4 linked regions of the Mytilus edulis genome follow. The protein of the gene in region 3 purifies or fractionates together with the protein of the main gene of each other region. This does not show direct contact. Links are inferred from orthologs where the notes say so. Each region holds a gene or a part of one and is shown on either strand. Other genes may lie near its edges. The genes, in order: uncharacterized protein, ATP-dependent RNA helicase DDX24-like, KRR1 small subunit processome component homolog and protein KRI1 homolog.

Region 1 (7,251 bases), on a different chromosome or scaffold from region 3:
ATACCAATTCATTTTTAATAACTGTTTGATATGAAAAAAACCATAACCTGATGACAGCCTAGCTTTCTTAGTTTTCATTGAATATGATGTCATAACTCAAATAACGCCACAACTAAAATCCCCAACAACAGAACATGTTTGAATTTAAAAAAAAAAAATCCTACAGATTATGTCCCCTTTCACAGGTAATGCCTGCCTCATATCATAAATACCAGGACATTCCTTCTAGATTCAAAGACTACATACATGTACTGCAAACGACACAACATTCCTTTTAAACTTTTAAGGTCAAATGATAATGCTGCTTAATTTAAAATCTTTTTAAATCAAAATTATTTCATACATTTTGTGGTTAAAATATTAGTCTGAATTAAATAATAAAAGTCAGAGAGACAATGCAATAATAGTGAACCTGATTTTTCTGCTGCTTGACCTAATCTATTTTGTTGCACCTTCATTAACTTTTGTTTCTTCCCTGATTTTTTTAGTTTCTTTAATTTTTTTAAACCTACAAAAGAAAAACAATTATAAATGCAACACCTGTATTATACATTGTAATATTTTACTGTTTGAGTCATGATCTTACCATGTTACCGATACTTCAGGAAAAAACTAAAACCTTGTAACAGAAGTTATAACAATATTAAAGCAAAATGCTAGAACAACTTTAGACGAATAAATATAAGAAGAACACATCATTAGTATTTGTAAAGACCCATTGTTGAATATAATTATTTAGATTTAACACAAACATTATTCAAATTAAGTAAAAAAAAAATCACAGAAGAAGTAATAATGAGCAATAAACAATCTTAAAGGAGTAGGTTCAGTAAGACCCCTTTTTGGCCTCAAAATATAGCCGTTTTAGAAAATTGTGAAAATGTAATCGTTTAGATATTTATTGCAAAGTAGAATGCTTCTGCTACATAAATATGGGCTGTTTTTGACAAAACAATGCACATATATCGGGTACTAGCATCATTAAGTCATGCTAAATTACTGAAATCTTCACAATTGTAGCATTTTAGTTATATTTTAGACGGTTTCCGTCTGAAATGAAAGTGGCCGCATTCGTGTTCATTCATAATATTGAAAAGTAAGTTGTATTTGATGATAATACATAATATATATAAAGGTTGAGGATGAACACGGATGCGGCCACTTTCATTTTTGACAAAAAACATCTGAAAAGTGACGATTTTTGGCATATTTGATAGATTTTTCATCTTTAAGCTTGAATCGGGGCGTTTTAAATGACTTAATTATTAAGTAAAAATCTTCCCCATTAACTAATTCAATCAATTGAAATAGACACTTAAGTGTTTAGAAAGTGTCTAAAATCTTTCGTTAGATGAACTTGAAAATTGAGGCCGAAATCGGCCCTTACCGGACCTACTCCTTTGTTTAAAATTAATCAATATCAGATTTCTATGTTTTATATTTCAAACTAAACTTATTGAATTAATTTTCCATTTTAGATTTTCATTCTCATTTGTCTTCTTTTTTATCCATGTAGTTTGTTTTACGCATTAAACATTCATTTAGACAAATAAAATACTTTTTTATTAGATAAAACACATTTATATATTTATCATGTTTATGGGTAAATAAAAACATGACAAATACTTTTACAAATTATGATCATGACTTGAATGGAGAGCTCTCATTGGCAATCATGCCACATCTTTTTATATCAAAACATTTAAACTTGCTGCATTTGTTAACACCTGTCCAAAGTCAGGAACCTGATGTTCAGTGGTTTTCGTAGAGAATATACTGTTGAGTGTTGGTTTTACACTAGTCATTACAAATTATGACTTGGATCAAGAGTTGTCTCATTGGCAATCATACCACATCTTATATCTAAAAACAGCACAAATTATACATTTATATGGGGACGAAGTCCCCAATAACAGTAGAAAATTCGATAAATTTGGGAAAATTTCCTGAATTTTTCATTGTATACTAATGAACTCAAAATCGTTCAAATTTTTTTTGTCGTGTTTTGAAATCCTGGACCTGCGCAGAAATGTACAATGTACTTCCTTTTTCCGGTCTCGTTTGTATGAAACTTTGAGTAAAATAAATATTTATCAGTCTAGTATAAAATAGGAAGGAACGCGCAATACCAATTTCATTTTAAATAATTCCTTGATATGAAAAAACGTTACCTGATGATAGCGTTTCTTTGTTTACATTGCATATGACGTCATAATTTAAATAACGTCACAACTAAAATCACTAACAACAGAACCAAAATCGGAAACGTTCCGGTATTTCCGTTTCTTTTTTTTAACAAATATTTAAGTTACAAAAAAAAACAATTCATACAGACTTCGTCCCCATTTACAGGTTATGCCTGCCTCATATTAAGTTATAACCATCTACATGTATATATCAAAATATCTTATAAACAACCATGGACGATGTGTCTTTACAAACTGAAAGTATGGATGATCTTGTCCTATGGCCACTACATCATGTACATCCTATGGCCATTATGACAGTATGGCCATCGCGTCCTGCATTGAAAATAATTCATGACAGCTGTAGATGTGTTTTCATTTAACAATGTAAATGGGTTGAGCATTAAAATTCCCATTTAACCATTCGCTGTGGTTCCGGATAATATAATCGAATATAAATACCCAACACACGGTTAAATGAGAACAAATCTACGACAGCCAGGAATTATTTCTTGAATTTTTTACCAACTTTTAACAAATTTGATTTGATTTTATTTATCAACTATACAGCTTCTTAGGGACTATTTTCTACAAAAAAAGGACATCGTTTGTAGCGCAATTTGGTCGGTTACCTTTTTCTGAATTATCTTCCATATTTGTAATTTTTCTTAGTGGTCAAATAATCGACCAATTCTGTAAATTTGCCAAAGACAATTTCCACACGTGCTAAGTTTCTCTTTGGTCAATGTTAACCTTGAACTTCAATATAAGGCGCATATTTTAGTTTATCAAAACACTCCCGTGATCTTTTAAAAAATCAAATTAAGTATTTCTTTTTCGACCATTTAAAATATGGATTGAATGAGTTGAGATTAAAAAATGTTGCAGCAATATAAATTTCATACTCTTTTTATAACAATATAATTAACCAATTCCAATAAAGTAACAAACAAACAAATCTGATGATTTATTTTTTGAAGTGAATACTTTGAATTCGAAGCCTTTCATCGGAAATTTGTAACATAATTTATCACCTGTTATTTACGAACGACAACCCCAAAATATGGCCGACGAATCAGGTGCGTATCTAATGACGCCATACATGTTTAAATCGTTTGTTAACTGACCCAGACATCGAGAGATTAAACAAACAAATAAATAGCAGTTTTCTCTACTGATATATCTTGTTTGACCTAATTCTTGAACGTTTGGGACAAAAACGTTAACTCCCATACTCGATCATCTCAGCCTTCCGTCTGACTGTGGTATCCGGTCGTTCCGGCACCAAGACACAAGATGAAAGACTTGTTAGGATCACAGTCAATTGAAAGAAAATGCTAATTACTGCTGATTAATGTTGAAGTCTGAATTCTTCTATATACGTTTTAATATAATTATACCCAATAATCCTAAAAACTTGTAATAAAAACATAATCAACCTATATATAGGCCAGTGTATTATAAAATATTTTCAAAGGCCTTTCTTTTTTTTTACTGTACACCTTTTACATTATAATAAAAATCATGTATACACATTTATGAATTACAATTAATATATATCTTAATTTTTAATCCTTATAAAAATACTTTTTATTGTGGCCGGATCGACGTGGTACGGATCGACGTGGGGCCAGATCGATCCAAAAGCTTATTCTGTGGACTGGAATCCGGGTCCGTTCGCCCTGATTCATGTTCGCCCTAGTACCTGTTCGCCCAGGGTCCATTCGCCCTGATCTTTATTTTTTTCTAATTGTTGTCTAGCATGTCTAGTCGCATTATTTTAAGTTTTTGTACGAACATGACAAAATATGTTAAAGTTTGTTGAAAAATTGACAGAATATTTATATTGCTGCAATCAATTTATCATTTTCCCTTTGATTTGCAGAGTAGAATACTGGAACACAATGTATTTATCTTTATTGATATTTGTTAACAAAATAATTGTATTCAGTCAATTACGAATGTATGCAGTATGACTAGTCTTAGAGTATAAATAAATGAACTTGTAAATCCGTTTCATAATTTACAGTTCGTACATCATTGTTTTTATTAATTTCAAGCTGAATATTTTATTAAAACAAAACGTTTGTTTTTATTATTAATACAAATGCACATCAAAAGACAAGTATCACAATAACCAGTGATCCGAATTATTTTTTCATTGAACAATTAATGATCCTAAACAAGCCATAAATATTTCAATGTTTCCATAAATTTCAAGAATATACATGATATATATACCATAGAAATATCTGAATAAGTTTATTCAACTTCATTGAATGCCTTGAATATTATTATTTTTATATATAGTAGGGCAAATGGACTCTATGGGCGAACGAACTCAGAGCGAACGGACCTAAGGCGAATATGTAATTAGGGCGAACAGTCTGGATACCCGGTGACTGTGAGGGTAGTAATGCCCTTTACCGGCATGCTTAAACGGCCATTTTTGGCTACCGTTTAGCGTCAAATTGATTTTAAATTTACCGTGATTCGTCAAAATATCCTTATCGTGATTTGTCAAAATATCCTTATCGTGATTCTTCAGAGGTCTCACAAAATTATTGTTACTCAACTTACTGTTATTTTTGGAAAAAAATTAACATGATTCATCAAAATCATTCTATTTTTTTATAGTCTAAAAGAAAGTGCATATTTTATCGTCATGCACCACAATAGTCCGAGATTACTCTGAAGTAATGGCTGTTTTGCCAGACAAGCTGGGGCCATGGGACATCATCTAGAGCTCGTCCCATGTCAAAAAGTGGATATTTGCCCGTCCAAAATAAATGCGCTGCTTCGTCGCTTCTGTTGCCAAAAAAGGGCCTTGGAATTACATGTATTTTAATCGGGTATCAATTTGTTCATTTTTCATTTATCTCTTCATTTACGTAAGCTTCACCTACATGCCACCCTTTATTTTTCCATATTTAAACAGTTTTCGCAGTGACCCATCGATTTCTGCATTTTGACTTTCAAAGATTATCACGTGACCATGAGAAAAAAAGTGATGATTTATGCAAATGACCATAATCTAACACCTCGTTCATTTACTATGCAAGTAATCTAAATGTCTGAGAGCCCCAGCTTGTCTGGCAAAACAGCCGTTAGATGTCAGAGTAATCTCGGACTAGCACCAAAAATTACCAATAATGCATTTGGCAATAATTTTTACCGTTATTGGTCATGAAGGTACCCCCATTACCACCCTCTGTGATAAACTGATATCATATGGAACTATTTTCAGAGAGATACATTTACTTAAACTAAAGTTATTGTTCTGAAACCAAATGTGTCATCGAACGACGACCACATGATAGCATTATTACATTGTATATACAAATGCTATTTTTTTTTAAATTTCTTATGAAAATTGCTGTGGCCAGTGTGGGTGCGTGGGTGTATTAATAGTCCATTTGCCAATTACCGATTTGATTCTGTTATTACACACTTTTTAAACAAATTACTTCCCTTTGTCAATCGTAGACTGGTTTCATCATACCAGACAAAATAGGCTCTTGAATTGCCAATGCAAATTATGATGAATTGAAAGTGATGTATCAGCCGTTTAACTATTTTTTCATAAAAAATAATTTCTGATGTCAAAAGTATTTAGATTAATAACAAATTAATGTAATTAAAAGATTTGAAAGCCTTTACTATTACTTACATTACGCACAGGTAAATTTGCACGTTCTGCTAGCTCTCCATTATAAATGAAAACTAATGTCCCTCATAAGGGAGACAACTGAAAGAGGGATCTTCTATTACAGGGTCAATTACAGGAATGGGCAAATAGCCTATTGATGCTACAAAATATTTTAGTAAAGACATCCCAGGAAATTTGTTGTTGCAAAACTAAAAAGTTAGATGAAAGGGGTAATTATGAGGCTGAAAATTCATCCCGCAAAAATGCCAAATACAACTAGGAAAAGCTGAAGAAAAAATGTCTATTGTTGTTAATGGTAAACCATGATCATAATGAGACGATGATTTGTGAATAATGCTGTTAATTTCCCCATTACGCTATTTAAAATTCTACTTTATATGGGGGAACAAACAATATACAACAAGACCAATGACCATGTTTTCTGTGTCCAAAAAATGAAGTTAAAACAACAGATAAAACTGAACAAGTTTATATAACTCATTCACTCATCTTATTTTTTATAGCTTGTAGCATACAAAATTGGTGTCAGCATTATTCAATATATATAAAAATAAGTATATGGGAAATGCAGGAAAAAAACTAATTTAGATTACAATGATTTAATTTGTCTGTAACATGACATATGTGGATTAAGCATTAGCAAACAACTGATTATGTTTTATTGTGTATTCTTATAACTGCTTAATTACAGAGGTACATTTTACATGTCTGTGTCTTTTCTTTTTATGATATAGTAAATGTATATTTACAACTAACCTCTGCAAATGTACATGTACATAGTGTCCTTAAAAATATTGAAAAAAGATCCAAAAAACTATTCTCCTCATACCTCAAATGAAAAGGAAAGAAAAAGATTAAAAAAAAATATGGTGCCAAATGAACTAAATATGCAGAAATGACTTTAAATAGGTGCTTATTTTGACCAATGCCAAATTGACCACCATGATAATTTGACTTGTACTCAATGTATCCTATCCATAAATGATAAATTTGGCATAATCTTGCAGCTTTCAAAAAAGTCTTACTGGTCCAGTACCAGTTACTTAAAGAAATTCTCAGTTTTACTTTTTGTCAAATAAATTTTAACAGGAAATAAGACAATCTTGTTGAAATATCCCTCTGCTATTTGGATGTTTGATGGCCGCCATCATTTCTGATTATTCTGCCACTTTTGGTCAAACTAAAATATTCACAAAAACAAAGCAAACATTGCTGTACAGATAAAAAATGTGATGGTAAAAACAAAGCTATTTACACATTAGTAAAAAAGGCTGTATCTGGTCAAATAGTGTTGTTAGACATACATAAAAAAAGATGTAGTATGAGTTCCAATGAGGCAATGCTTCATCCAAGTCACAATGCGAAAAAGTTCACAATTAAGTGTGTACTGGTAAG
Region 2 (7,118 bases), on a different chromosome or scaffold from region 3:
CAGATTCATCTACAATGACTACAATAAATCATATGAACAACTACTTGAACAATCTAAATTACCAATTCTTAAAATCAGTCGCATGAGAAGCATGGCATTAGAAACTTACAAAATTTTAACAAAATCCAGTCCTGAGTTTTTACACAATATATTAAATTTTAAAGATAACTCATATAATTTTAGATATAAACTCACAGTTGATTTACCACAACCAAGAACTACAAGGTATGGCAAAAGGAGTTTTAGCTTTGTCGGCAGCAAAGTTGTGGAACTCCCTGCCTAACCATGCATGGAGCCCCTCAACTTTGGTAAAGTTCAAACATTTTATTTCTTCATGGTGCTCTTCAGAAAACTGCTTCTGTAGCTCATGTAGATATTAACTTTGCTGTTCTCAGAGCTGGATCTTCTGGCCCTGTGTTCTGTTTATTGTTTGCTTTTATTTTATTTATTTGCTTAGCTTACAATGTATGTCATTGTGCCAGTTAAAGCAAAATTTGCTTTTCCTTTCTTTTAGCTTGCTTGCTTTGATTTATGCATGTTTGCTTTGCTATTATATTATGCATGTGTTTTATTTGTATGTGTAGTCTGTGCTGATAATTTGTTATTTGTTTTAAGTATCAAGTCGGTTAAGAGCTCTACAGAGCTCATGTTTACCTTGTTAAATTGTACATATCATGCCGGACTATAAATAAAATTTACTTACTTACTTACTTTTCTATATATAATTCTCACCCATTTGAATATCATTCTATTCTAATAGAATCCATGACAAATCGCCCCACTGGCAAATCGCCCCACTCTTTCACAAACTCGCCCCACTTTCTAAAAAAAACGCCCCACTCTTGTTTACCAACTCGCCCCATTATGAAAAGGGTAAACTCCCATTGCAAATAGGTATGATAACATGCCCCCCTTATGAAAAGGGTTAAAATCCCGCTGAAATACGGTCAGCTGTCAACTGGCCCCACTCATGACAAATAGATAAACCACTTATAAAAAAGATGCAATCCCGTTGTATATCTTTGTCCCTGCCCACGTCAATACCTTTGAAAACCTAAGTGAAGTGCTATAACATCAAATTGCTGTTAAAAACTCTGTTTTTGCAATAAAGTTATATATAAATGTTAATCACGCATCAATTAATTGTGTGATTATGATACAATTAACAGGTTTCTTTTCAATTGTTATACAAATAACTAAGCTTACAAGTATAAAGTTATTCTCCAATAATGATACAAAAATGTCTTTGCAATTATATTTTAAGAATGTTAAAAAAGTTTAATAAACTGATTTCAATTTTTTTTTTTTTGTATTCTGTGTAGATCACAAAAATCAAAATAAGTTTTCATTTAAGTGCGGCTAGTTGGTAGACCTGAAAATTACATATAATAGAAGTAGATTTTTCCTTTTTTCAATAAGTGGGGCGAGTTGACAGGGGAAAAATTAACTGGATTTAACCCTTTTCAAAAGTGAGGCGATTAATCATTTTTTTAAAAAGTGGGGCGAGTTGGTTAACCAGGTTGGGGCGATTTTTTTATTTTTTTTAATAGTGGGGCAGGTTGGTGAAAAAGTGGGGCGATTTGGTGTGGGGCGGTTTTGCCAGTGGGGCGATTTGTCCTGCTTCCTTCTAATATATTAATAATAGTGCAGTGCAAGTGCATGACAGACGCTCTTCTGTGAAAAATGGATTTTATTAATAGATTGGATTTGAGTAGGCATTCAATTTTCCTGCTAAACCAATCTCCCATGCAGAGTTATCGCTCCTTGCTCTGAGAGAGTGAGTAAGGACCGATAAATCTGCATGGGAGATTGCCGCAAAACATTCATGAGATCTTCTTTCGCATGTGTTAACACAGTTATAAGCAAAAAGGTATGTTAATTTGCACTCGATAATGTCCACATATTTATCTGTTTATAGATCGCTTATCAGTCAAACGCAAAAGTTACATATTAAAGTGAAAATCTCGTCAGCAACAAATATACCTTATCGCTAATCCCGGCTGACCATGCCGCTTGAACTTTTGACGCATACAACAATCACTTTTCCATTGTGGCGTCAGATATTTTGTTTTATGACGTCAAAATTTTACGTGAACCTGTGTGATATCCAGTAGTGGTGCCGATTTAACCAAGTGTCGATTTGACTACTGGGTGCCGATTTAAGGATGTTCGCTACTCTGTTGAAAAATAACAAGCTTTTTAAAAAACTGTTATACATTGAAAGTATATATATAAAGAAACTAAAAAAGCAGAAAAAAATGGAGGGTCCGTGTGTTTGTTTTCGAGATATAAGCCATTGAAAATTTGGCGGGAAATAATTCTCTCTAGATTTTTCTTTCACTTAACATTGTCACCTTTTTTGTTTTAAAAACTATGGAAAAATAACAAGGATTTCATAAGATTTTGAAATATGGCTTTTTAAATAATATGTAATAAAAATATGAAAAGAAAAGTAGGGGTTATTGGGCAATTTTTTTTAATGTTGATACATGGATAAAACCAGAGGATTTCGAAAATCTAGCAAAAATTCAAAATGTAGAGGAGCGAACATCCTTAACCAGGTGCCGATTTGACTACTGCCGTGAGAACTGGGTGCCTAAAATTGCCCATGCCATTGATTTATGGACCACACTTTATTACCTTTTTTGATTTTCCAGGGTTTCCAGAGGTATAATCTTTGATAAGTTCGTAATCCGTAAGTTCTTCTATTGAAATTAAAGAATCGAAATCATTTTGAGATAAAAGATTATAGTCAATTTTCACTGGTTTCCACTTTCCTTTGGTTTTCACGTGCATGGAAGTCGCCATTTTTTACTCTCTAAATGTAAACAAATCTCATAAAGTCATCAAGACAAATAAAATATGAAAACTATCTGTTTTAAAATAGAATTATTTTTATCATCTTTTTTTATTTATCTATCTATTCCATACAGCTTATTCATTCCTATTTTGTATTGTTTTGAGATTAAAAGTATAGTCTGGGTTCCCATTATTCAAGGTCTGGACGTATAGTAGAGATTGAATTTAAACAGGAACCCAGGTTAAAAATATTACAACTGGTTACAATAACACAAACATTCTTATAAAGCTTTAGTTGACAGTTGTAGGTTCCAGATTATTTATTGTTGACGTTTTTTGTCTTCTTTCGTTTTACACCATAGGAAACAAAATCAGTGACATTCCAATAAAATGTAACACTGGTGTAGGAAAAAGAAGATATTTTACACCTAAGCATCCCAATACACATAGAAAATAGCAGAGAAGGTGATGACAATTTGACAATGAAACTTCCCAAAGTTGTCTTTGACTTTATCCAGTCCAAATATTAAATTATTTTGAGGTCTTGAAATAGATATAGGGAGATGTGGTATGAGTGCCAATGAGACAACTCTCCATCCAAATGACAATTATAAAAGTAAACCATTATAGGTCAAGATACGGCCTTCAACATGGAGCCTTAGCTCACACCAAACAGCAAGCTATAAGACTGATAAAGGGCCCAAAAAATTACCAGTGTAAAACCTTTCGACAAAAAAAACCAATGGTCTAATGTATATAAAATTGAAAAACGAGAAACACGTATGAACTATACATTAACATACGACAACTACTGTACATCAGATTCCTGACTTAAACAGGTGCAAACATTTTAATGGTACCAAACCTCCTCCCTTTTCTAAAACAATAGTATAACATCACAACATAAAAAAACACTATAAAATATCAATTGGAAGGCTTAACTCAATAAAGAAAACACAAATTAAGGCGACTATGCTTTTTTGCTTTGACGCCTTACAATATGTCATAATTATTTTGATTAACTCAGGCCTAGCTTCACAGGCACTTGTTTCTATCCATGGGAAGACCCACTATCAACGTAAATATATAGAAACAAGTGCCTGTGCCAAGCTTCATTAATTGAATTAAGTTTAAATGTTTAAATAGTTCTTCAAATGAGAAACTTAATTTTGTTGAATGTAACAGTTATAGACGACTCTCACATTTCAACCTTTTCCTGTCATATTGCTTTTATCAATTCGTCAAAGTGAGAGTCTATACACAACCTTTTAATTAAATTAGTGGACTTTTCACAAAAAACATGCATTGATGTTACAAAAAAAAAATCTTTTAGTTGTGATGTCCGACGACTAAGTTTTTCCCCAAATGAACCAGAACCCAAATCAACAGGAACAGCCTTGTTCATCCTTAAAACTGAAATTGGAAAGTTATCAATTGCTAAACGACATCATCTATGCTGGCTGACCCTGAGTCAACCAGTGTTACTCATTCATGAAAAGAAAACAAGGATTTGGTCAATACCCAAATCAAAGTTTCAAGTTACCTGAAATTATTGACCACAGGAGTTGTTGATTTTATCAATGTTCATAAAATATAGAAAAATATTTGCTTATTAATTGTGCCATGACCCTTTTTGAACAGTCAGTCATCATAAAATTGGAGTACTTTTCAACCAGAACGACTTACTTTTTCAATAGTTTCTTCTCTTCATTAGTTTCAGCAAGGAATTGTATATTTAAAAGGAATGGAAACGCGGCTCGAGATCAATCGGGATACCAACAGCGCACCCGCAGAGTTATAAACCATGTCTGGCTCAGGCGGAAGTATGATGAATAATATAAAAAATCATGACGGAGTTCCATTTCCTGTCATATAAATCGGTCTTTTAATTCACGGGGTCATCTTGCTTGAGACGATATAAATGAGAGAGAAACCCGAAATCAAGAATAAACTTTTATTCCTAGCAAAAAGTAAGGCCTTGGGTATCATTTTAATGCCTCATCAAACATACGTTTGTAATATTGTATTGAGTAAATTCTCATTAGAATAGACCTCGGTCTTGAAAATTGAGGGAGTTTCATCCGGATTACTAAACAAAAAATACTGTGTTTTGATTTTTTTCTAAAAACTTGAAAACTGCGAAGTGCAAAACAAAACAGTTGATATCATTATGAAGCTGAAACCTTATTCTATCGCTTAGGCTCTTTTTGAAGTTTCTTGTAACTTTTAAGAATTTTCTACGATTTTTCGAAATTTCAGTTTTGAGTTTCAATATTCTGTCAAAATATGTCTATCAATCTGGGAGTGCACTACGATTTCTTTATTATATTGGAAAGTAGAAAGAAAAAAGTGAGAAAATGAGATATCATTTTAAAGAAGGAATATTTTTCTACAGTTTGATCTAAATTACGAATGCTAAATGTAATTGGTACAATATATATGATTTTATTTCGAAACATGTTGAAAATTTGAAGTTGTGCGTCAACAAATACATCGACACTTTGTATTTTGGTATAAGTTAAATAACTACTTGAAATAGATGTGACATTGACATATAATTTAAAAGCTTAGTCTTTTTTCTATCGCATAGTGTTCATTTTATGAAAATGGTGATAAAAACGAATTAGCTATGATTTTTCAAAATCCCATGTTTATATTTCACATTGACGCCATTTTGTTTGAAATAACAGACAAGATATATATAAAAGACACACGATTGGGATTTATTGTGCCTTAATATACCATGTACGATGTTATGCATTTCAAGTTTTTTTGTCAAATGCTGCTTTAGATACTAAATCGTTGTTTAGAATGCAGTTTGCCATTATAAAGCGTTGCCGCAAATTACCATACGAAACAGCAAAACTGTTCCTTCCTTTTTCTCCCAGAGCAGTAGTCTATAGGCCGCAAAAGTATTCCTTTGGTGTTAAAATAAATAAAATGCGAATGTGGGAAAGTTTGAACTGTTTCTAATTAGAAAATTTATTGCATCTCTGCATAATTTAGCATTAATTAACAGGTGAGCTCGACATTATTAATTTTTAACATCTTAAAAGTATGTAAGACCAGAGACAAATTAGCTTATCATTGATACATGATATATTATACCTGCAAATTGGAACATCCTGCATGCCGTTGTTTATTATAACACCTGTAATCTAAGTTCTTTTATCTAGATAATATACTGCAGTTGTTAAAATTTTCCTTCCTTCATAATAATTTATTAACTTCTTTCTTTAACAGTCATTTAGTTACATTTTTAAAATGTTCTTTATTTTGCATGAAAACTTTTTAACACTCGTAAAATGTCCGATATCATCTGATTATGACATACCTTCATGAAATAATACAATAAAAAAAAATTGAATAATAATTTTGTTAGTTCATCACATTTCATTCTGGTGTTATCTTTCTTGGTATAGTTAACACTAATTAATGAGAATCAGCATAAAAGTAGTGTCAAAATGATATAAAGAAAGATACTTTCAAGGATAACACTAAATTTTCAACAAGCAAGATTCAGAATTCTTTATGATAATGGGGCATGGAAAGTGAACTCTGTATTAAGTTGTTAGACTTTTTGTTCCAAATTAGTACTGAGTCCTAGTCAATTTTTCAAATAGCAAAAAGTTAAGATAAAAAGGAAGGAATTGGAATTAAAACTCTATATCAATCATGAATGCGACTGTAGTTATATTTTTTATCTTCAGATAGAAGAGATGCAGTCAAGTGACACTGATTATCATTTTGATAATAACAACACAATTGACATGGATTTTTGTGCTAATATGGAAATACAAACAAAGAAGAGAAAATTTGAAATGACAACAGAAAATGTGACATCAGCTATCATGTCAGGTTTGTAAAATCATCAATTTGAACACACTTATAAAGAAAGATCTCAGTAAGAGTCGACAAAAGATGAAAAGTTAGTTTTACATGCTTACTTCAAATCAATTAATCTACAACTGAAGACAAAATAGAATACAAATCATAAAATTGAGAATGGAAATGGGGAATGTGTCCATGAGAAAACAACCTGACCAAAAATGGGGAATGTGTCAAAGAGAAAACAACCTGACCAAAGAGTTATCAGCAGCCTAAGACCACCAATAGGTACAATAGTCTCGGATGTGGAGAAAAAGTTGAGAATTTGATAACTTTATAATACAAAAAATCATTATATTCAACATGTTCCCTGAGTCTTGCATTGCTATTTAGTGAAATAGATGAAATTGTTAATTTTTCTTCTTATTTCACTATAAGTTAGTATAGATTATAGTTTATAATTGTTTTTGCAATAAATGATATGAAAGGAA
Region 3 (6,954 bases):
TATAATATATAACGGAACATATCAGGGAACATCAGATGAAATAATAGATTTTTTTCGTCTAGCAAATAATTAAAACCCCTAATTAAAATCAAAAACGATCAAATGTCGTTCTTAGATGTTGATGTATTTAAAGGTCAAAGATTTACAACATATAACATTCTTGACCTTGAAATTCAAAGTAATTTTTAAGACACAAATTATTATCTGTTTCTGGACAGAAATAACTGTCACTCACAGCATGTATTCAGAGGATTTATTAAAGGTAAAGCAATGCGGCAAACTAGAAACACAATTGACCATAACAAATTAATAAAAAAATCTTAACTAATTTCAAAGTGAAATTATTAGATAGGGGTTATGATAACGTGGAGAAAGATGATAGTATCACTGATGCTTTATCAATTGACCGTACTGATTTATTACAACAAAAGAAATCAGAAGAAAACAATATATTCCGTAAGTTTTTATAACTAAATATTATAATCCATATATACATAAAATAAAGAAACGTGTAATGAAACACTGGCATTTATTACAGTTTGACGAAGATTGTGTACAAGTATTCAAAATAGCACCAATAGTTGCGTATAGCAAACATAAAAGTATTGGGGATATGCTTAGTATATCAAAGTTAAAGACTTTATTCAAATTGACAGTTGGATCCCTGATGATGGTAGATCTGTCATAACTTGTCTGTACAGAGTACTATCTTTTTACCCAGAAGTAAAAAACAAGATAGTACATTGTTCAAACTTTCTGTACAGAGTACCATCTTTTTACCGGAAGTAAAACACAAGATTGTACATTGTACAAACTTTCTGTACAGAGTACTATCATTTTACCAGGAAGTAAAACAACAGGATAGTACATTGTACAAACTTTCTGTACAGAGTACTATCTTTTAATCAGGAAGTAAAACAACAAGAAAGTATTATGTACAAACTGTCTATACAGTACTATACAAAGTTTAAATAGTATTTTTGTCGGCTCACTTCGGCCATCGTACTATATTAGCTTCGATTCATGTATGATTTGTTGTGATATTGGTCAATAAATCCAAATTTGAAATTTACGCTAAAAAAGGGGGCCATTTTAAGACCTTACCGAACATACTCCTTTATTATGAAGGGCAATAACTCCTAAAGGGTATCAATCAATCATTTTGGTCATGTAGATCTTATTTTGTTGAACAATTTTGCTGTAAACAGTTTATCTCTTTCTATTATAATTCAAAATAATAAGCAAAAACTGTAAAATTGCCATAAAATTACCATTTCTGAGGCAGCAACTCATCAATAGATTTGCGACAGAAAATTTCAGCATTTTCAGGGCAAATGGGTCTTGACCAGATGAACATTTTCATTCTGTCAGATTTGCTTGAAATGCTTTAGTTTCAGAGATATAAGCCAATCAAATTGCTTGAAAGCACTGAACTGTAAAGATTGCTTCCATTTATTAGTGGGAAGTAAAATTAAATATTGCATTGGTTGTAGTTGATTTAACAGCTATTCTAGACAAAGGAAGATAACTCCAATTTTTAAAGATGAGGTAAACAATGACTTAATTTATATTTTTTTAGAACAGATATTACATTCCTGCACCTTGCAAAAGTTATGTAATTTTCTTAACAAGTGTAACATCATTTTGTGCCTTGAATATCTGAGCATATATTACATTGATAAATTTTTGAAAATGTTCATGAAAAGGATGTATAGAATGTTATGATCAATGCACTATACTTTGTGTTTCAAAAAAGGTGGTGATAAGCCTTGGAACATATTAGCCCAACTTGGCCCAGTAGTTCATGGAGTTTCAGATGAGGACGTATTATGTTAGTTATACGTCCTTGTTTCAGAGGAAAAGATTTTAGTAAAAAATTTGATTTAGTTATCAATGATATTGACATATTTCATTGTTTACCTCATTTATAAAATTACGTAAAGGTGTGAAAAGTTGACTTTAAAGGGCAATGATTCTTTATAGCGACAATTGACCATTTTGGTCATGTTAACCTATTTGTAGACCTATTTTTGCTGAACAATTTTGCTGTTTACAGTTTATCTTTATCTATTATAGTATTCAAGGTAATAAACAATTAATTTTTATGGCGAACGAAGCTGGATACAACCGTAGAGGGTTAACCCTGAACAGTTGGGTCAATGACATAAAACATAAAACTCTGAGACTACTATAGTAATACTTGTTAAATGGTTATGGTAGTCTCATCAGTTATACTGCATAAATAGACTGAAGAGATCATTTGGTTCACAAATATCAATAAAGATGAATACATTAAATTCCAGTATCCTATTACATGTAACTTGTGGATATGTTAACATTTTTTAAAAACTAATCCGTTAAGGAAACACAGCTAGCTGTGTGTGCTCCAACACTGGAGGGATTTACATAAAGAAGAAGAAGAAGTATGCAAATCAAGGGGGAAATAATTAATTGGTTGTGGCGAATTATACAAATATTTGGCAATTTTTTTCATCAAACATAACAAGATAATCATGATAAAATATTCTGTTCAAATAATAAACATTATGCAACTAGACAACAATAAGAAACAATATAAATCAGGGAAAATGAACATCAGTTTTGAATGCTGCAAATGCTGCAAGATCAATATATTTGTCATATACATTATATGTAACCACATTATCATAACTTTAAACGAGGGTACATAACAAGATAACTAAATCTGGTGCACAAAATTTTGAGTCCATGCCATGGCCATGCATGTATTATTTTTTTATATATTATTTATAAACAAATGTCCAGATTTCAACTGTTGCAGTGTTGGGAAATAACATATTGGGACCCGCAGTTGGTACAGAAAGATGGATAAATAGTTATGACTTGTGCAAACCTTGTCTTTCCATGGTTTGTTTAAAATATCAAAGGAATTGTTTTCTTTTTTCTCCTCACGTTGTTTCTACTTTCAATTTAGTACAAGGATTATTTCCCCTGGATTGATCTTAATCATTGTTGCGTTTGTTAACGGAGAAAAGCTACTTTTTAAATGAAGAAATTGTATTGCTTGATCATGTGATTACTCATTTTTTTCCAGTTTGCAGTTGTGTATTATCCAGATTATACTGGTTATTTCCACACATATCGTGGCTACAGCATTACATTATTGAATGAAATATTTTTTGTGAAATGAAGGTCATTCTTTATCATGTTTATAAAAATTTGTTTGGTAAGTATGTATTATGATTAGAAAAAAATGGGTATCAGCTGTTTCCAATCACTCTTCGACTTCTTCTAATATATGAATAAACTCCTGGGAAGGAGTTTTAAAATCCCGTTCTCGGCCCTATGATATTTATCAGTATTTGAAATAAAAGATCCCATGGCTACATATAAGGCACAAAATGTGCACCATAATTCAGTTACCTTGTTTTGTAACCCCCATTGACATAATGGTTACATTGGTTACATTGGTTACACTCATACAAACTATCATAAATCATCATATTCAGAAATTCTCAAATCCTGGTACATTTGTAACCTCCACTGACCTAGTGGTTACATTGGTTACACTGGTTACACACATGCAAGAATCCCTTTTAGCCATCTTGTTACCATGGCAACCCCATTATTAATGGCTGTGAGGTTACATTAGTTATTTAGGTTACAATGATTTAGGGTTACAATGGTTACATGCATGGAGAATCAGGTTACAATGGTTACATGTATAGGGAATCAGGTTACAATGGTTACATACATGGAGAATTTGGTTTCAATGGTTACATGCATGGAGAAATAGGTTACAATGGTTACATGTATGGGAAAATCAGGTTACAATGGTTACATGCATGGAGAATCAGGTTACAATGGTTACATACATGGGGAATCGGGTTACAATGGTTACATACATGGAGAATTTGGTTACAATGGTTACATGCATGGAGAAATAGGTTACAATGGTTACATGCATGGAGAAATAGGTTACAATGGTTACATGTATGGGAAAATCAGGTTACAATGGTTACATGCATGGAGAATCAGGTTACAATGGTTACATAAATGGGGAATCGGGTTACAATGGTTACATACATGGAGAATTTGGTTACAATGGTTACATACATGGAGAAATAGGTTACAATGGTTACATGTATGGGAAAATCAGGTTGCAATGGTTACATGCATGGAGAATCAGGTTACAATGGTTACATACATGGGAAAGTCGGGTTACATTGGTTACATGCATGGAGAATCAGGTTACAATGGTTACATACATGGGGAATCGGGTTACAATGGTTACATACATGGAGAATTTGGTTACAATGGTTACATGCATGGAGAAATAGGTTACAATGGTTACATGTATGGGAAAATCAGGTTGCAATGGTTACATGCATGGAGAATCAGGTTACAATGGTTACATACATGGGAAAGTCGGGTTACAATGGTTACATGCATGGAGAATCAGGTTACAATGTTTACATACATGCCTGGGGAATCAGGTTACAATTGTTACATTCATTGGGAAGTCAGGTTACAATGTAGGTTGGTATAAAACTATGTCCACCATGATGGCCCTATGTGTCCATCATTATACTCCCTGTTGCTAATTAATACACAAGGTATTAATCAAAAACTAGTCAAGGATAAAGGGAAATCATGACTGCATTGAAGTGTTAAAATTACATAACCTACAGGTAAAGTGTCTCAGGTAAAATATGTGTTTGTCAAATTTAATTACTGTGATTATGAACAGAAAAATAAAAAAATAAAATGAAATAATACAACTAGATGAACCAGAGACATATAAAACACATATAGCCTTATAACATTTTTTTTTAAATGTCTTGTGACTTTGTTTTGATGTTAAATTTTTTTTTTAACTTCTATCAATTTATGTTATTTTTTAAAAGTACTTTTTGACAACTGAAGATTAAATGAATGTCATCGTCATATATAATGCAAACTTTCACAATACCTGTCTTTTTCTATTGAAAAGGTGTTTCTAAAATCAATTTTCTAAATTCAAAATTGTTTATACTAAGAGAGACGGATCTGCATTTAACATTGTTCAACAAATGTTTTAAGATAATATCTTTAGGACTTATTTTAAATATAATTTAGGCAATTCATTATTTCTCTATTGAATAAATATATTCAACATATATTTATTACAGCAAAATTTGATAATATTTTGTATTGTCATATATCTGAGACTACTAGACAAGTATCTTTAAATAGTCTAAATCATTCAAGTCCCTGCAGTTATTACAATGTATTAACTTTATCTAAAATGTCTGGTTTTAAGTGAAATATTCTTGTCAAATGTATACAAGATTATATGAATGTAGGACAGAGAGTCACAGCTCAAAATTTCACGGACAAAAAGTCACAATTCAGTTTTGAGATTATTTTTCTTTGAATAAGAAAACACTTCAAAAAAAAATTTGTATTGCCTTGAAGTTTAATATATGAAGCAACTTTGTAATTAAAATGTATTTAATAAATGTCATTAATAATTATCAAATAATTGTTTATATGAAAAAAAAATGCCAAAGTGACTTGGTACTTAAATTGGTTCATTTTGCCAATAAATATATCCTTTGCATGTTTAAAATTTAATACATTTTCATTATCAATGTGTATATATATGTATCATGCCAGTCCAGCAGTTTCAACAATATAATACACAGAGAGAAAAAAAATGATTTTATCAATCTAATTAAAATATTTTACTTAGATTGTGATTTTATTAATAGACCATAAAAATGTCACAATCTATAGACATGGTAGAAGTGTATTTATTTTTTCTGAAGACAAATTTTGGTTATTAACTGACAGATATTAGCCAAACTGACGATAATATACTGGATTTTCAATTGTTTTAAAAAGCAACAAAATTTTTCATTAACTAGTTTCTTTTCATAATGCAATTAAGATTCACTTTATTCTGAGAGCTAAGAAAATTTTTCAATATGATAAAAAAAAATAATGAGCGATAACAAAAATTAATGAGCATTTATACAAATTTGATATTCAACTGCAATATCTATTAACTGTTTAAACTGTTTATTCAAAAAGCACTCGGACGCAGATTTCCTGGCACGGATTTCCTGCATAACAGGAGCTACAAAGAATGTAGGACAGAAAGTCACAGGACAAAAAGTAATAGACAAAAAGTCACGGACAATAAGTGACAGGACAAAAAGTCACAATTATTTTTTTCTGGCTATTTTCTTTGAATAAAAAACGCTTATTTCTACAAAAATATTTTGGTATTTTTTTTTGACTGTTGTATATAAACCAACTTTGTAAACAAAATTTATCCAAAAAATATCAAAGATGATTAAATAATTGTTAAAAAAACAAAATGTGAAAGTGGCTTGACACTTTAATGGCTTCATTGTGCCAATAAATATATCCTTTGCATGATTTTTATTAAATAAATAATCATTTTTCAAGTATAATGACACATTTCCTAAACTAATATGAATATATGAATTAAAAAGTGAATACATCACTTACATATTCAAACAATTGGCAACAAATTATTTGTGACCTTTTGTCATGTGACCTCTTCGTTCTATCTTTGTGACTTTATGTCCTGTGACATTTTGTTCTGTGACTTTCTGTCCATTTACTGAGACAAATACACATAAATTTACAAATAACATAGATAGCGAAATGAGTAGAATACATAAAATGAAACAGTAAAAATATTTTTTTAACAAAACAAAATATATACTAAATCTTTTGACCAGATCGCAAAAAGTCTGTGCAATCTGTAAAGTTTAAATAACCATGTGATCAATATATTTAGATATGTGCATTAGGTTGGTTCTAGAACACCCAGACAAAGTCCTAGAAATATTCCTTATTATTCCCAAAACTCAAACTAAATACTTATATACAATCTTTGTTAATAGCTAGAAGTATCTTATTCATCAAATTTGTCTGAAATTTACTGAAATAATTTAACAC
Region 4 (7,433 bases), on a different chromosome or scaffold from region 3:
AGGAACTTCCTCTGCTTAATTGAGCCCCCAAAGAAATGTGAAGAGTTAAGTTTTTATTCAAAATTATCGAAAGCAAAGTTTTATATGTGTTCTCGTACGGATACTGACCCCCCTCAATACTGAATAACAGACGGACGGCCACACGAAAAAAAAACGGTTCACTTTCGAGCAAAAATCAGAAAAATGACAGACATACCACGTATCAAGATAACACTGTTAAAACTGTAGTGTAAACTTGTGTTGTTTATAATATAAATTCAATTTCTTCATGTACATATACTTAAAAAAAAATTGGTGTAGAAAATTCAGGGGAGGCAACTGCCTCCCCTGCCTCATAGGTAGTTACGGCCCTGGTGATTATGAACAAAGTAATGAACAAATTTACCAAATATGATATATAGCAACAAAACAACAACCTCTGACGTAGTCTGAATTACAGGCTCCTCACTTTGGACAGGCCTGTATAGAACGTTGCGGGGTAAAACATGTAAGCCCAACCCTCCTCTAACTTGGGACAGCAATGTAACAGTACAACATATGAATAAACTAAAAACTAAAAATCAGTTGATTAACTCATCAGAACAGGCTGAATCAGGGTTTTTGTCTATGAAACTCTCACCCTGTTGCTCTCAAGTTCAGCATCAAATTTAAATTTAATCATGATATGAACAATAAGGTTAATTTTACATTGTCCTACATTTTAATGAGTAATTATCACCTTATAAGTCCTATCTATTAGTAAATTGATTATACATGTAGTGACATAATTTATTAATCGTTAAACAATCATCAGGTGTCTGACATTAATGTTATTAACTTTCGATGGGAAATTGATTATACAAAGGGCCATTTATATATATGTAGTGCAATGCTCTAACAAAACAAGTTTTTTTTAAACTAGGTATTAAGTTGCACTTATCATGCTTATATTTAGGTCTTTAAACAAGACCACTGGTCATGCTAGTACAAATGTATAGGAATAGTTATATTTGCTGATGCAAAAAAAGTAGCAGGCATGAAGAGAAGGCAGTTATAATATTAGAATGTGGAGTAAATTATAGAATGTGAAAATTATCATAATATCATGGATTTGTTTAGACAGTATAGTATACATTTACAAGAAGTATATATAGCTTTTCTCATATATACACAAAAGAATATGTATTTCATGTGTACCAGGTAGTTAATACATACTTCAGCATTTTCATCCTCAGACTCTGACGAACTTGATTCTGAATCCAGATCACTGACATCTCCGTATTTATCTTTCACTACAAATATAAACTTCTTATAAAGGTACCAACAAGGCACAGGCACTTGTTTCTATCCCTAAAATTCTAGGGGAAGATCCAAACGGATATTTACGTTGATAGTGGAGGGTAGTAATTGGAGTACCTCAAATATTCTTGCAATATGACGTTAATGTTATTTTTGGTGATTGACGATAAAATGTTCACTTTCTTTTACATGATGAAAAAATCAACATCACATTATAAAAATTTCAAAAAATGATGCTAAAGATAATAAATTTGAGACCGCTGACAGGGCCGTAACTAGGGTTCGACTTCAGGGGAGGCAGGAGTTTGGGGGCCGCCGATTGATGCCCCCAAGAGAGGGGGGTTGGGGTCGCAGCCCCCCGCCGATTTTTTTCTCGCAGAAAAATGGCTAAAAATGACCCGTTTTCTTTCGATTTACTTACTTTAACATGTTTAAGAAACATCAGTATTGCTGGATCCTGGAAGCAATTTTTATGCAAACAATTAGTATCTGTATTTAAAGATATTTTTGTTAGAAATCAAACTGGTCAATTAAAAAAACATATTAAGCAAGATCATATTAAGCAAGACATTTTTTTTGTCAAGGACCTTGAATTTCAATATTGTTGAAAGCTGAACAGACATGTATATAACTACAACCAGGGACTTTCTAAACTAGAATATTACTTAGTTTTAGAAAGTCTCTGCTTCAACAAATTGAAGTGTTTAACTACTAAGGCATTGACCATAATGTTCTCGTTAGATCGGCTGGGAGACGTTAAAAAATGACCCAACAGATGATTCAGCCGGTAACGAATTTCTGATATCACAAACGATTCACAATACAAAGGGAATTTCCTCTGCTTACTGGAGCCCCTAAATAAATGTGAATAGTTAAGTTTATTCAAAATTGTCGAAAGCAAAGTTTCATATGTGTTCTCGTACGAATACTGAATAACAGACGGACGGCCACACAAAGAAAAAAATATACTGAAACGGTTCCCTTTCGATCAAAAATCCGGAAAATGACAGATATATCACGTATCATGATAACAGTGTTAAAACTGTAAACTTGTATTGTTTATAATATAAATTCAAGTTCTTCGTGTACATATTGTCAATATTTCATTTTATTACTTCAAAAAAATAAATTTGGTGTAGAAAATTCAGGGGAGGCATCCCCTGCCTCATAGGTAGTTACGGCCCTGGCTGACAAATCCAGATAAGGCTATTATGACAATTCCCAGTAAAGTTTTAACTAATTTGACACAGGCATTTGTTTCTATCCATTGAAAGACCCACTATCAACGTATCTTTAAAGCACAGAGAAGAAAATACGCTGAGAAAAACTGAACATTGGGACAATTCGTGCCAACAGGCCTTAAATAAAAGTTTGAGGATTGATGATAATGGCAGCCAAAAATGATCGTTTGACGCCAGATGGTAAAGGGCATAACTATCCTCATAGTGGATCTTCCCAAAGTTAAAAACAAGTGCGTATGCAACAAGGGCACTTCTTGATTTAGTGTCACACTTAGATTGGTGTAAAATATTTTTACAATTCTAGACGATAGGTTCATGCAAAAAATATATGATTATATAGACGAGATTGAATTCATCATGCTTACGTTTCTGGAGTTCTTCTTTCTTTCGCCATACGTTGTAATTTTCTGCATATGCTTTGTTGATTTTTAGCTCCTCGGACATGCTTGTGGGTCAGGTAAAGTATAGGGAAGAGAAACATGTTATATTGGTGTATTCTAATAATGTTATCCGTATGTACGTTCTTTGCGTATGGAGCACCATGGGGATTTTGATTACGGTATGTGATTACATCGCCAATTTTATAGTCATTATATTACTAGACCAAATATTTCATGATTAATTGAAAATCTGATAAACTAGGACTGTTTTTTTAATTTTTTTGTCATCTGATAATCTAGGACTGAATTTTTGGACTTTTTGATTACTTTCTAACTATACAAATCCTTGATTAATTGATTTTCTTGGTAGATAGTATTAGCAAGTAAGTAAGCATTAAAGTAAGTATTACAGTACGTGAAGTGTAAGATGAGTAGGTAAATAAATTAGTACGATCATTTACTTTTGGAGATTTAAAAAAGGGGGTATTATTTCAAATCCTTTGTTTTTCGGAAATACCATTTTTAGCATAGCTAAACATATCAGAAATGTCCTCTGAAATTTTCTTTTTTTTTATTAGAAGAATATGATGTGGTTTATCCTAGAAGTGCCAATAAGTCCACTCTCCATCCAAGTAACAATATGTAACTGTTAAGAATAAGTATTAACAGTAATAAAGCCGGTTTAAGGTAGATAGGGTGTCTTCCTCCATCTTGGATTAGGAAATACCAGACAACAAGGTCTAGATCTTTAATAGAATGTGCAAATTTTTAGAGTAGTAGGTAATTCATGTGTAAGACCTTTGACCTCAATATATAAAATGACATGTTTTATCATATTTATGGTTGTATTTTACAAAAAACAGAAAACTTTTGTTTGATTAATTTTTTTTCCAACTTTGCCACATAAGGGGAGGCAACTCAAATGCAAGGGCAGATAATTCAGATTACGGTAATTTTACAATAGAATGTGTTAGGAATTTTCCTATTTTATAATGTAGCAAGAAAACAGGTCCGGTGACCCCATTTTGTCTTTTTCTTAACTGAAAGCATACTATAAAAGCTATCTTCTCATATGGTATCTCAAATTCTATGGTGTAGTTTACGCTTTATTGCAGAAAATTGTGTTTTCCATGCATAATCTATACAAAATCTGTCAATTTTGAACACCGTGTAGCGTGAAAATAAGTCCCGTGACCCATTATTTTTATTATTATTTTTTAAAGAGCATGATATAAGCTACATTTTGGCAAATTATTAAAAAAATCTATGGATTATAATTTAGACACCCCATCTACCTTAAGGGTGTATTCAGGTGAAAATTTCAAAATCTAGAATATCTTAAAATTGATTGTTTAAATCAGAAGAGATAGGAACAAAATAAGCTACCAATATTGATAGGTTTTACTGTGCGTTTTTGTTGTATTTCTTTATTCTACATAGCCTAGAGGTATAGAGGGATGGTTGAGATCTCATAAAACATGTATAACCTCGTCGCATTTTTGCGCCTGTCACAAGACAGGAGCTTCTGGCCTTTGTTAATCTTGAAGTTGTATTTTTTATTTAATTTTAGTTCATTCATATGTTGTGGAGTTTAGTGTTACGTCCATTTTCATGAACAATACACAATTTTATTTAGAGCCCGTCTGATGACCACCTCTGGGTGCTGGATATATTCCCCATTTCCATTCTCAATTTTATGGAACTCCTTTTCGATATTAAATGGTGAGAAAAGGCCAACTTTACCTCAGTTATATACTGTACAGCTCATGCAGCTGAGCATTGGCTTTATTTTGGTCTCAAATCGTAAGAAAAGAAATCTGGATTTAAAAAAAAAATTATATATAGTTTTTGTCTTTTGTCATTTAGGGAATTTGGCATGGATGGCAGTTAAAAAAAAAATCACAGTCAATTTTATCAACTGTTCCAAAATCACGTCTACTCTATTCAGAGTATTGTATAGCTACAGGCTTGGGATTTTGGACTCTTGTTAAAGATCGTATATTGATCTCTACATGTCTTTTGACTATTTGTTTCGTTGGCTTGAAATCTTATTTGCGTGTATCAAAGACTCCTACAAAAGAAGTACATGTTTAAAGAATGGTCCCTCCCTTTTCCAATGCTACTCGAACGAGATTATGAAAGTTTACGGTGTATAAGTAAAAACAAACCATGTAAACCATTGAATCGAACAGTGACAGACTGATATAATTGCAGCCTACAAAATTTACATGCATACACATGCAGCTGAAGGTGAAGGTAAACCAGATTGCACAGTCATCTAATCTCTGTATTATATATAACCCGTGTATCAGCTTACGTTAGATATCTGTCTCTCAGAGATCTGTCTAATTATTATACTCCCTTTATGTTGTGCTGCCGATGATAGTGTAACGATGCAAGTCAGGTAAGATCATTTCTCTTTTCTATTTTGTGTAAATTTCAAAACAAAAACAAAAACAACTGAACTGTGACAAAAAGTTACTCAAAGTATTATTAACCATAGATTTATATATATATTCAATTCAACTCAGGTCTTTGATCTTACTCGAGCAATAAACAGATTCGCTTTATTTTCCAAATTTTATCTAATATGTTTACTAGTATTCGTTTATTCATATTGCACGCTCGTGTGCATGCATGTGTACTGTTGGCAATCACACACTGGTAGACATACATATAGAAAGTGTATGTCAATAAACTGTCAATAGATATGAACCAAAACTAGCAACTGATGTAACATACATCGCCAAGAAATCATAACTAATTATGCATAAATTACAAGTTGGAATCGTGCCTGAAAGACGTAGTAATAATTGGCTTCTTGTCTGTTAGTGTCTCTTAGTCATCATATGTAAACAATCATAAATCATCATTCTTATAGGAAACAAAGACAAAACAAGAAGGTAAGAAAGTGTTGTCAATTTTTACTTTAAGACTTTTTTATGAAGTCTTTATATGGTATCACGACATTTGGAATTGTGTTAGGTTAACAATTTAGAAATCCGTTTATAACATTTCATACGGCTGCATATTGACATTATGTAAACAATGCAATCGCATTTAATTTACAGTTACACAAACACATTTGTTTTGTTCGCACCACAATTGCATAGGAAATCTGGTATAACCATATAACCATATCACTTGTCTTCGGCGAACACATTATTTACTGAAATAAAACGGATTGTTATGATAAGGTGTATATTTTCGTATATACATAATATTTGGAAAAGGTAGCGTATTAATGATTGACGAAAGGTAATCTCGAGAAACGTCAAAGGAAACGGCATGTTTTCACAAATTTCAGGAGACAATATAATTATATGATATTTGGAACGAAAAATAGAGCTTAAGCTATTATATCAAGCTATTTCAAACATTACATAACGTTCATAAATAATTTTGTTTCATGTATGCAAACTGTTTGCATATTGTATATTAGATCCATATGTCAAAATAATCCGATTATTATCACATATGGCTAGGGTCAGACAGTGATGAAGAGATAAAATAATTGGACAAATGAAATATCTGAAGCATTACCGACTGTGGTTTTACATTAGATATGAATACTAAGATAATACATGTATACCTTAATAGTTTAAGATGCTTATGACATCGATTATATAACCATGGGAATATTATATTTCATTTTACTTCCATGATACAATCAGAGACTTGTATGTATACCAAGCACATGTATAACCTTATTTAAAAAAAAATATCACCCATCCATGTGTAACTTCGCGCGTGTTACGTACTACAAATGAAATAAAATCGACAATTGAAACGGGGAATGTGTCAAACGGTCCAAAACAGCATAAGGCCACCAATGCTTAGGTCTGCAACATAGTGAAAAAAATCCCTCACATGGAGACAGGCCTCACTGAGCCGGTCCCTTAGCAATAATGTATACTAGTTCAGCAAAAATGGACGTCACACTAAACTCCGAAAATAATAAATGAACCAAAAATTAAAAAGACATACAACGATAATAAGGTCAGAAAAGGGACAGGCAAAAATATATACGACGGGGTTAAACATGTTTTGTGACATCTCAACCCTCCCCTATACCTCTAGCCAAAGAAGATTTTAAACAATCGCATAGCAATACGCACAGTAGATTCCAGTTTAAAAGAAGTCCGATATTATAATAGATAACACTGAGAACAAACTAAGTAAAATGTAAATGATCAACATAAATTAAATTAACAAAGAACCACTAGCAGTAACTAACATGCCAACTCCAGACCTCAATTAAACTTATTTAAAGATCATGTCTTCATCATATGAAAATCAAGCACAATCCCCTCCCATTAGTGGTTTAGTATCATACCACCATAAAATATACGAGAAGAACATAGCCTGTATCATATGCCAACAACTGTTTTAGAATTAATGTGGATATTGCCGATGCAAAGACCCTATGAGTGAATATCAATATTAATTCAGCCTTTTTTCATATATTTGATCACAAGAGATTAAAAAAGTCAAACATATGAAAGGTCAATGGAAAGGGGGAATATGTCAAAGA

Evidence for each region.
Region 1: the proteins of KRR1 small subunit processome component homolog (region 3) and uncharacterized protein purify together in Homo sapiens (affinity purification with mass spectrometry; 3 studies listed by BioGRID and IntAct, with this or other methods). This does not show direct contact. The link is inferred for Mytilus edulis from reciprocal best matches to the Homo sapiens genes KRR1 and DDX18.
Region 2: the proteins of KRR1 small subunit processome component homolog (region 3) and ATP-dependent RNA helicase DDX24-like purify together in Homo sapiens (affinity purification with mass spectrometry; 3 studies listed by BioGRID and IntAct, with this or other methods). This does not show direct contact. The link is inferred for Mytilus edulis from reciprocal best matches to the Homo sapiens genes KRR1 and DDX24.
Region 4: the proteins of KRR1 small subunit processome component homolog (region 3) and protein KRI1 homolog purify together in Homo sapiens (affinity purification with mass spectrometry; 3 studies listed by BioGRID and IntAct, with this or other methods). This does not show direct contact. The link is inferred for Mytilus edulis from reciprocal best matches to the Homo sapiens genes KRR1 and KRI1.

The regions. Positions count from the first base shown.
Region 1 is NC_092353.1:66,593,736-66,600,986, reverse strand, and holds the start of uncharacterized protein, read right to left. Parts: upstream 3,004-7,251; 5' UTR 2,841-3,003; coding exon 2,819-2,840; intron 509-2,818; coding exon 413-508; intron 1-412. Other genes in the region: uncharacterized protein, read left to right, coding at 3,250-3,265. UniProt on the Homo sapiens protein: ATP-dependent RNA helicase that plays a role in the regulation of R-loop homeostasis in both endogenous R-loop-prone regions and at sites of DNA damage.
Region 2 is NC_092344.1:113,043,295-113,050,412, reverse strand, and holds the start of ATP-dependent RNA helicase DDX24-like, read right to left. Parts: upstream 3,004-7,118; 5' UTR 2,809-3,003; coding exon 2,641-2,808; intron 1-2,640. Other genes in the region: uncharacterized protein, read left to right, coding at 6,519-6,657. UniProt on the Homo sapiens protein: ATP-dependent RNA helicase that plays a role in various aspects of RNA metabolism including pre-mRNA splicing and is thereby involved in different biological processes such as cell cycle regulation or innate immunity.
Region 3 is NC_092350.1:37,840,055-37,847,008, reverse strand, and holds the start of KRR1 small subunit processome component homolog, read right to left. Parts: upstream 3,025-6,954; 5' UTR 2,886-3,024; coding exon 2,873-2,885; intron 1-2,872. UniProt on the Homo sapiens protein: Part of the small subunit (SSU) processome, first precursor of the small eukaryotic ribosomal subunit.
Region 4 is NC_092344.1:5,473,131-5,480,563, forward strand, and holds the start of protein KRI1 homolog, read right to left. Parts: upstream 3,018-7,433; 5' UTR 2,964-3,017; coding exon 2,885-2,963; intron 1,272-2,884; coding exon 1,195-1,271; intron 1-1,194. Other genes in the region: uncharacterized protein, read left to right, coding at 5,293-5,303.